Sus scrofa: one gene and its partner. The protein of the gene in region 2 purifies or fractionates together with the protein of the main gene of each other region. This does not show direct contact. Links are inferred from orthologs where the notes say so. Each region holds a gene or a part of one and is shown on either strand. Other genes may lie near its edges. The genes, in order: RANBP1 and RCC1.

Region 1 (4,344 bases), on a different chromosome or scaffold from region 2:
GCCCATCCTCAGCTACCCTCCAAATGGCCAGGCGCCTGGGCCCCCACTTGGGACCTCATTGACCCAAGTGGTAACACAAGGGTCCTACTGGCCAGCGCCCCAGAATGACATCTGTACGCATGGGGCAAGCTCAGGAGGCCGCTTATGGGAGCTGTGCCAGGGGATGCTTTGACCCAACACTCACTTGGCTAGCTTCTGCAGCACCTGCTCACATTCCAGTCGCTTGCGCTCAAGCTGCTCTGCATAGGGCACGGTCCAAAGAGGGGTCACTACATCAGCGATACAGGTGGCCTGGGAGGCTGGCGGCTCACCCTCGTCCTCTCTCTGCCTCTTCCTGGCCATGGGATCAGCCTTCGGCCTCGCTAGGCGCACGCTGAGCGGGCGGCCCTTCCAGAGGGCGCCGTGCAGCACGCACAGGGCCTTGTCGCGCTCGGCGGCGCTACGAAATGTCACGAAGGCGCAAGGAGGCTGCCCGAAGAGTTTGGTCTTGTGGGGTTGCAGCCCAAAGCGGCCCAGGAAGCGCCGGACGTCGCTGAAGCTGGCATGGCGCGGTACGTTCTGCAACTCCAACTTAAAGATCTCCGAGGTGAACAGGCCGGCCCGGATGTAGCTATAGGGCCCCGGCTGAACGTCCGGCCCCGCGGCCCCAGCGTCCAGATCCTTCTCCTGCTGGGGGCCCGGGGCCGCGGGGCTGCCCGGCGCGCTGGGGCTGTCCTGACCGGGGTCCCCCACGCGCGCCTGACCCTGCGTGGAGACAGCAGACAGGCGGGTTGGCAAGCGCCCGAACGCCCGGCCCTCTGTCTCAGCCACCCATCTCACCACCCGTCCCTAACTCCAGCGGAATTTCCCTTCCCCGTACTTCGCTGTCGGGCTCGTCACCCATCATCCACTCTGTCCGCGGCCTCGTCCAGGGCCTTGCAAACAGGGGGCGCGCGGTGAGCGGGTGCGACTCCGAGAGGCAGGCCTCGCTCCAGCCCGGGCGGAGGCAGGACTCCCTCGGTGCTCAGGTCCAGGTCTCAGGCATGGCCCGGGCCCCCCACTCTCCTTGCCGGTCACTTTCCCGTCCGCTGCCGGCGCGCGTATCCCAGACAGCGTGTCTTAATCGTCTCGGCTTCCGGCGACATCATCGCCTCGCGCCGCTGAAACCCCCAGCCGCGCCTGCGAGCTCCAGGGGCGCGCGGCCGCGGGGCGGAAGTGCGCGCGAGGGCCGCCGGGAGTGCGCGTTCCCCCGCCTGCCGGGCTGGCCGGGCATGCGCCGCGGGCCTTTTGGCGGGAAGCGCGGGGCGGGCTGGACAATGAGAGTGTCTGCCGCCTGAGCCAATAAAGCTGTGCTGGTTTTGAATCGCGGCGCGTTTCCCGCCGCCGGGGTCAGGGGTCGGGGGTTCAGGTCGCGGGGCGGAGGGAAGAGCGGGCGGGCGGGAGGCGCCGGCGCCAGACGCGGAGGAAGAAGCTGCGACCAGCCGCCGAGAGGCCGCGGAGCCCGCGACGACCGAGCCCGCCGAATTGCCGCCGCCGCCGCCGCGCCCATGGCGGCCGCCAAGGTGGGCCGGGCCGGACAGGCCGGGGCGGGGGCCGGGCGGACTGGGGCCGCTACCGGCGGCCACGTGGGCGGCCCGCGCCGCCGCCAACCCCCACCGGCTTGCGGGCTCGGGTGCGGGGCCTCGTGACCTTGGGGCGGCCCGGCCTCGCGCTCGCTCCTCGTTTCCGGGCCGCTACTTGCCGCGGGCCCCGCACCGAGACGGCCCCCTCCCGCGGCCCGCGCAGCGCTCCATTCATCCGGTGGTGGCCCTCGAACCGCTACCGGACTCCGTGCCCGCGCGCGGTCCGGCGGGCGGCCTGTGGCGGCGGAGACAACGCAGTGCAGCCCGGTGCGGTCCGGCTAAGGGGCCGGCAAAGGCCTGCGTTTTTGGGCCGAGCCCGGGAGCGAAGTCTCTGGGAGTCTTAGCCTCCGGGTCTATGGATCATCAAGCCACGTGTTCCGTGAGACAACCTAAAACACCATCCTTTGTGTGCCGTAGTTAGTTCTCTGCACTGGAGCCGAATTCTATAACTCTTTTGTGTGAATCTTTTTAGTTTTTAAATCTGGTTTCCCAACCGAGATTAAATTGCTGGCAGAACTGTGAATTCTGTGTAAACGCTAGCAATCTTATCACAACTTTTTTTTTTCTTTGAAGTAAGAGGGCAGATTTTTCAGTAAAAATTCAGATGGATGATTTTGGTTTTAAGAGTATACTGAGGCTCTCTTCTCCTCATCACTGTGTCCTTGATCTGCATTTGACAGTGAGGCGTTCCAGGACCCTTGGAATTCCTGAAGCCCAGTTAGTCTGTGCAGTTTTGGTTGTTGCATCTGAGGGAGGGTGACAGAGTCCAGAGTCTTGCTGCAAGTCCCTGCAGAAAGCTTTGGGATGAAAGGCTTTTTAAGCCTTTGTTTTGGTGTGAGGCTGTTGACTAGTGGGGTTGCCCACCGTGGCCACTGGTGAGCTCTAGCACGGCCAGCAGGGTCACGACTCCCTCCTCTACAGGACACCCATGAGGACCACGACACCTCCACCGAGAATGCTGACGAGTCTAACCATGACCCCCAGTTTGAGCCGATAGTTTCTCTTCCTGAGCAAGAAATTAAAACGCTGGAAGAAGATGAGGAGGAGCTTTTTAAAATGTAAGTGAACTGATGTTTTTTCAGAAGGAGGTATCTTTAGTTTAAGATGGCACCTAGTGGTTTTATAAATTTCCAGAGCTTGGCTTGACCTTTAGCCATACCAAGGGTTTTGTGATGGCTAATCCCATGTGGAAATCAAGGTGGCTGTTAGCATTTACCTATTCCATGGCTCCCTGGTGTCCTGTTACCATAGCTCTGTCCACAAGGGACATCTCCCAGACCCCTGTGCTTGCTACCCGTGCCTCTAAGACTTCTGAAGCCCTTGCCCCCGCTTGAGTATTGGCTCTTTAGTGTTACGCTCTCTCTTTTTTTTTTCAACACAAGGACACTCTGAAGCACATGATTTTCTGATTCAGTGTCTTTGGCACACTAGGCAAAACTTGGAACTACAAGTGGAAGTGGGTAGTGTTAGAGTTACTCGGAGTTCCAGTCGTGGCTCAGTAGTTAACCCAACTAGCATCCATGAAGATGCAGGTTTGATCCCTGGCCTTGCTCAGTGGGTTAAGGATCCGGCGTTGCCATGAGCTGTGGTACAGGTCGCAGATGTGGCTTGGATCTAGTGTTGCTGTGGCAGTGTTGTAGGCCGGCAGCTACAGCACTGATTTGATCCCTAGCCTGGGAACCTCCATATGCCGCGGGTGCGGCCCTAAGAAGACAGAAAAAAAAAGAAAAGTTTCTTGGTGGCAACTACAAGTAGCTGTAGCTGCCATGCCACTTTGAAGCACTGTTTGCAGAATCTCTGTGTCCAGATGTCTGTGATAGTCACAGTACTGACAGCAGCACTGACACGGATTAAAGGAGACACTGGTGTAGCCCCAAGTTAGCGGAAATTGGGGGCAGGGTGGAACAGATTCTTCCCACCCCTTCGGACTCCGTCCAGGATGCCAGATTGTGGTTTGACTGTTTTGTTGTGAGTTGGAGGAGGGAAGCAGCGGGGCCAACACTGCTACCACTCTCTAAGGCAGGGAGGCTGGAGAAAGCAGCCCCTCCCTACCCCTCCCAAGGGCCTGAGGAGGAGAGCCACACACCCCTTAGGTCTCAGGGCTGGAGGCACAGGTTCTCTGGGTCTCTGTTCTGCCTGGAAGCGCTGCCGCCTCTCTTGACAGTTGAGTTTGGGAAGAGAGCAGTTTTTGCAGGGAAGGGGCCAGCAGAGCTGGGATCCTATGGGGACGTCTCCTGCTGCTCTATGCCCCAGGGACGCCAGGGTGCCCATGCACCGCAGTGGCAGCCTCTTCTGGGAGTGCTGCTGCACTCTCTGAGAGGGCAGGTCTTTTTTCCCATTTTTATTTTGAAGTAAAAACCCACAGTCTAGGGGGTTCCCGTCATGGCTCAGCGGTTGATGAATCCGACTGGGAACCACGGGGTTGCGGGTTCGATCCCTGGCATTGCTCAGTGGGTTGAGGATCCGGCATTGCAGTGAGCTGTGGTTTAGGTCGCAGACGCAGCTCAGATCCCACGTTGCTGTGGCTGTGGTGTAGGCCGGCGGCTGCGGCTCCAATTGGACCCCTAGCCTGGGAACTTCCGTGTGCCGAGGGAGCGGCCCTAGAAATGGCAAAAAGACAAAAAAAAAAAGAAAACCCACAGTTTTGTTAAGTTGTCTTGATTCTCTGGTGACGTCTTGACTTGTGGTTCTTGGAGTGCAAGGAAAGGAGGGCCATTTGGCAGGGCCTCCTCTGTCCCCTCCT
Region 2 (4,567 bases):
TTTGATCCCTGGCCTGAAAACTAATGCATACTGTGGGCGTAGCCAAAAACAAAAACAAAACAAGAACAGGTTGGCTAAAAGTAGGCCATGATCTAGGGAGAGTTTGAGGTAGCCTGGACAGGCCACCCCAAAAGCCCCCAGAAGCCTGGCCAAAAACAAGAAATAGAGGGCAGAAGCCTGCTCAGAGGGACAGGATGGTGGGAGGAGACTCGGAGGCAGCTCGGGCCTGGGAGGGTGGGCCAGGTAGAGACGGATCTGCTGAAGGATGTGTGGAAGGACAATGGGTACAACTCCGTGCAGTGGTGGAGAGAGCACTGGTTTTCAAGTCTCAGAAACCTGTGTTCCCTTCAAGTCTGAGAATTTGCATCTCTCAAACAGGGGCTCCAGGCACTGCAGCGTGCTGTTGTGAACAATTCTAGAGGCATGACAAGGGGTGAAAGGGCACCTCCCAAAAGGTGGAGCCCTGCACCCATTACCCACCTGCATATCCTCTACTACACTAATCAGTCATTTGGACAGACTCTCTAACCGCTCTGGGTATGTTTTCTTTCTTTTCTGGCTGCACCCATGGCATGCAGAAGTTCCCAGGCCAGGGATGCAATCTGAGCCACAGCGATGACAACATTGGATCTTAACCCAATGACCCATAAGGGAACTCCATGGGTGTGTTTTCTTAATCACACAGGGAATGTCTGGGTTGGGACTAAGTAGTAGTTTTTGTCTGCACCCCGCACTCCCCAACAAACACAGCTTCCATCTTCAAGGAGGTTACAGTCTGGTAGAAGAGTGAGATATAATCACGGTTCGTCAGATACAGAGTCAGCTTCCGCCAATAGGCACCTAAGGAGTACCAGCCTCTCCTAGAATGCACACACCTGCCCCCAGAGGTGTGATCATTCTGCCTTTACAAATAAGAAAGTGGAGGCTCAGGAGAAGGTGGCCTGGGCCAAACAGAGGTGGGATGACAGCTGACCACTCCCTAGCAGGACCAAAGCTTTGCCCCTTCCCCAAGTACCCCCCTGGATCTGTTTCCTCATTTGGTGAATGAAGGCACAGCAGACTAGACAGTTTACCAGGAGCCTGCTGTGACCCCCAGTGACCTCATTTCTTCAAAGGGACACAGAGCCCTCTTTGACCACAGCAGCTGTGTTCCACCCCCCTTAACCCGAAAGACACTTGCCCACCAGATGCAAAGGCTGAAGAATCTTTGTGAGAAAAGTCCCCAAGAGCTCTGAGACTCATGTGTCAACAAACATTTGCTAATAAGCTCCTGCCTCGTGTCAGGCACAGAGCTGGTATACTTCATCCAGGAGCTCCTTACCAAGGAATCCCCCTTATGTACCGAGCTGAGCCGGGGCCACACCTTCCACCAGATGTCAGAACCACAGCTTTATGGAAATTATAGGATATTAGTAATCCTCACCACCTGCCTCCTATCATTTTACAGTTAAGGAAAATAAGGCTCAAGGGGAGTGGGTGGGTGGCTCAAGGGCACCCAACGAGGACACTGCAAAGCTGAACAAGATTCCGGCTCTGGGGATGCCTTTGCAACAGCAGCATGGAGAACTCCTGGTTGATCTTTCCAGACTCCATTCTGATGCCCTTCGTGGATGAAACCACCCCTGCCTCCACTCCCACCCAGAGTTCCTTGGTCTTGCACTCCAGACCTTTTGAGACCCAACCACTGCTGAATCATCTTGCTCTTCCCCTCTCTGTACCCCGTGCTCCAGTCAGACTCAAACACCCGTGGTAGCCCCGGATCACAACACTCCCTACACCTTCATGCCTTTGCCGTGTGCTCTGTTCCCTGCCTGGATCACCCTAACCCCTCCACCCTCAATCTGCCAATTCCTTCAAAACCCTGGACAAATCACCTTGGCGGCAAAGCCATCCCTGTGACCCCTCCTGGGCAGGCTTGAGTGACTGAGTTCCTCTCCATCCTCCATACACTCAACCTAGGCTGGGGTGCCCAAGTCATACTTGGTTGCAGCACCTCAGTTACTATTAGCCAGCAGCAGCGCTCCGGCTCGACTGGCATACTTCAAAAATCACCCTAAACCATAACTGTGATCCCACACCGGTCACCCCAGAGAGGCCAGGAGCTCTGACAAGGCTACACAGGGTCCTCTCACCATGTTTCCCAGCCCTGCAAGGGCAGCACGGAGGAGACAGCCAGTAAATAATCTCCTGACAGATGAGTTGATGCGGAGTTCACAGCACACCTCCCGACGGGTCAACAGTCGTCGCCGTGATGCCTGTTGACACTGAGATTTCGCTCCCTGCGCAGACCCTCTGCAGCCTACCTCGAGTTCCTAAAGCAGACCCACGCGGGGCAGGATACCTCCGCCACTCCGCAAATCGCATTCTCCAAACCACCGCTGGACGAAATCACTTTCCCGCTCCGGAAACGCAGCCCCAGCCGGGACAGCCGCCCTGGCCAGGGAGGCGCGCGGGGCTGCGCACCGCAGGCGGCGAGGTCACCGCGGCCGCGCGCACCCCGGCCGGCCGCGCTCGGGCCGTTTGAATCTCCCGCCCGCGCGACTGGCGCGGGCCAGGCTTGTTCCGCGCGGCGGCGAAGGGGCCGCGCGGCCCTCGCTCGGTCGAGGCGGGGCCCGGCCAGCTCCCGGGCGCCCTGCGGGGCCGGGGAGCCGCGCGCCCGCACACGCGCCTCCCTGCCGCCCGGCTTCACGTGGGGCCGGCGCCGCGCCACACGGGCGCGCGCAGGCAACGGCCCCGGCCCGCCGGCAACCGCAGGTACCCCGGCTGTGCCCGCCCTGCGCGCCACCCTCCGCTCCGACCCTCCGCGCGTGACGGGCACGACCTACCTCGCTGCAGGTCCGCCACAAGGAACTCCTCCGATCGCCGGCCCGGCCGAGAACTGCCCCAGAGCATGCGCTCTGCGGGCCTCCGGCCCCGACCCCGGGCCAGAAAAGAAAACAAAGGGCCCGGCGGCCCCTGGCGGCCGCCCCGGGAAGTGCAAGTGGCGCGCTCTGGCTAGGGCGCTCTTGACCTCCACCCTGGCCCGGGTACAGTGGGTGTATATTTTGGAGACCCCAAATAGGGACAAGTGGACTGACAACCAGAAAGAGCACTTGAAATCAGAGTTTGTTTGGGAAGATTTGGTGTGGACGGGACTGTACGGGCAAATAGATACTGATCTTCCCTTCTCTCAAGAGGCTCTCAGAGAAAGAAGAGACATCAGACTATCACCAAACTATTCAGGGCGATGACAAAGGTACGCACAGGGTTATCTGACTTAGCTGGGGCTTAAGAAAGGCTTTCCAGGCTAAGCCGGAAAGTGTAGGGCTTCCTAGGAGAAGCCTCCCTTGCGATGACAGGGAGCCATGAGAGCCTTTGGTCATTATGGGAAACTAACTGCCAAGGCCTGACTGGGGCAGAGGGTGCCCTGGGAGTGAGTGACAGGAAAGAAAACGGGAGAGGAAGAGACAGACCGCGGATTCAGGGTCTTGTGTGTTTAAGGAGAGAGCCTCTAACCTTAGGCAGTGGGGAACTACAGAAGGGATTTGAGCAGGTCAGTGACATGAGCAGATTTTTTTAGAAGAAAATGGAGAATAGACTTGGAAGGGGAAACCAACAGTGGGGGAGAGCAATGAGGTAAGAAAGATTAGGTTGTGGAGAAAAAAAAAAAGAAAGAAATAAAGAAAAGAAAGATGAGGGTGTGAATTGAGGTGGGGGGCCAGAATGTTAAATAGGCAGGAAGCAAACTACCCACTCTCCTTAACACACTCCTTCAGGATGGATACAGACTATTCTTCAGGATTTCAAGTGTTCCTTGTGGTGACTTTTCAGGCCTTTTGATTGTGTCTGGGGGTTTCCCAAGTCAGGCCAGTGACCTCTGTAGAAGAATATTTCCTTCATGTCACGTTGACTCTAATTCTAAAAGTCATTCTCCCATACTTGAACTCTAGATGGATAGTTTTGGTATTTACTAACTGCATTTCTTCTCTAGAGCCCACCCCAAGGCATTCCCCATCTTCAGGGCTTCTTACCTCCTCAAGTTGACTTCCGCCTCCATCACAGACTCCACTCACGGATGATATACTGTGAAATTCCTCCAAGTTTTAAGCCTGGGATCTCTGATCTCTCTCTGCTTTCTTCCTCCAAGATCTTACTCATTCACATGGCTTGATGTAATTATAAAAATAAGTATTGTCACCTATTTTGTAGAACATTTTACTTTACAGAAACACGTTCATTCATGTCCATTAGTTCATCTGTTCCTCACAAAAACCTTGACATTTGTTAAACAAGTTGGCTCGGGCCATCATACAAGTGGTAGATCAGAATGCTTGCTCCGGGCTGAGCTGTCATCTTTTAACTGAGAGGGCAGTCCATCTGGTCTGGTTCTGACCCCCACCCTAAGTTTCAGACCTACGGCTCTACCCAGAAGACTCAACATCCAAAATAAAGCTCACTTCCCATGGATCTAGATGCCCCATCCCACCCCCACCCCAGGCCCTTCATCTTTCAAGGCAAGGTTAAGGCTCTCTGAGAAGTACAAATGATTCAGACTTTAACTTTTTTTTCTGATTCTTCTCTCTTCTCT

The links.
Region 1: the proteins of RCC1 (region 2) and RANBP1 purify together in Homo sapiens (affinity purification with mass spectrometry; 3 studies listed by BioGRID and IntAct, counting the BioPlex papers as one, with this or other methods). This does not show direct contact. The link is inferred for Sus scrofa from reciprocal best matches to the Homo sapiens genes RCC1 and RANBP1.

What each region holds. Positions count from the first base shown.
Region 1 is NC_010456.5:51,492,995-51,497,338, forward strand, and holds the start of RANBP1 (ran-specific GTPase-activating protein), read left to right. Parts: upstream 1-1,263; 5' UTR 1,264-1,526; coding exon 1,527-1,541; intron 1,542-1,548; exon of another isoform or gene 1,549-1,956; coding exon of another isoform or gene 1,957-1,980; intron 1,981-2,522; coding exon 2,523-2,659; intron 2,660-4,344. Other genes in the region: TRMT2A (tRNA (uracil-5-)-methyltransferase homolog A), read right to left, coding at 185-744, 860-886. UniProt on the Homo sapiens protein: Plays a role in RAN-dependent nucleocytoplasmic transport. Alleviates the TNPO1-dependent inhibition of RAN GTPase activity and mediates the dissociation of RAN from proteins involved in transport into the nucleus.
Region 2 is NC_010448.4:85,544,341-85,548,907, reverse strand, and holds the start of RCC1 (regulator of chromosome condensation), read right to left. Parts: upstream 2,918-4,567; 5' UTR 2,826-2,917; intron 2,439-2,825; exon of another isoform or gene 2,304-2,438; intron 1-2,303. UniProt on the Homo sapiens protein: Guanine-nucleotide releasing factor that promotes the exchange of Ran-bound GDP by GTP, and thereby plays an important role in RAN-mediated functions in nuclear import and mitosis.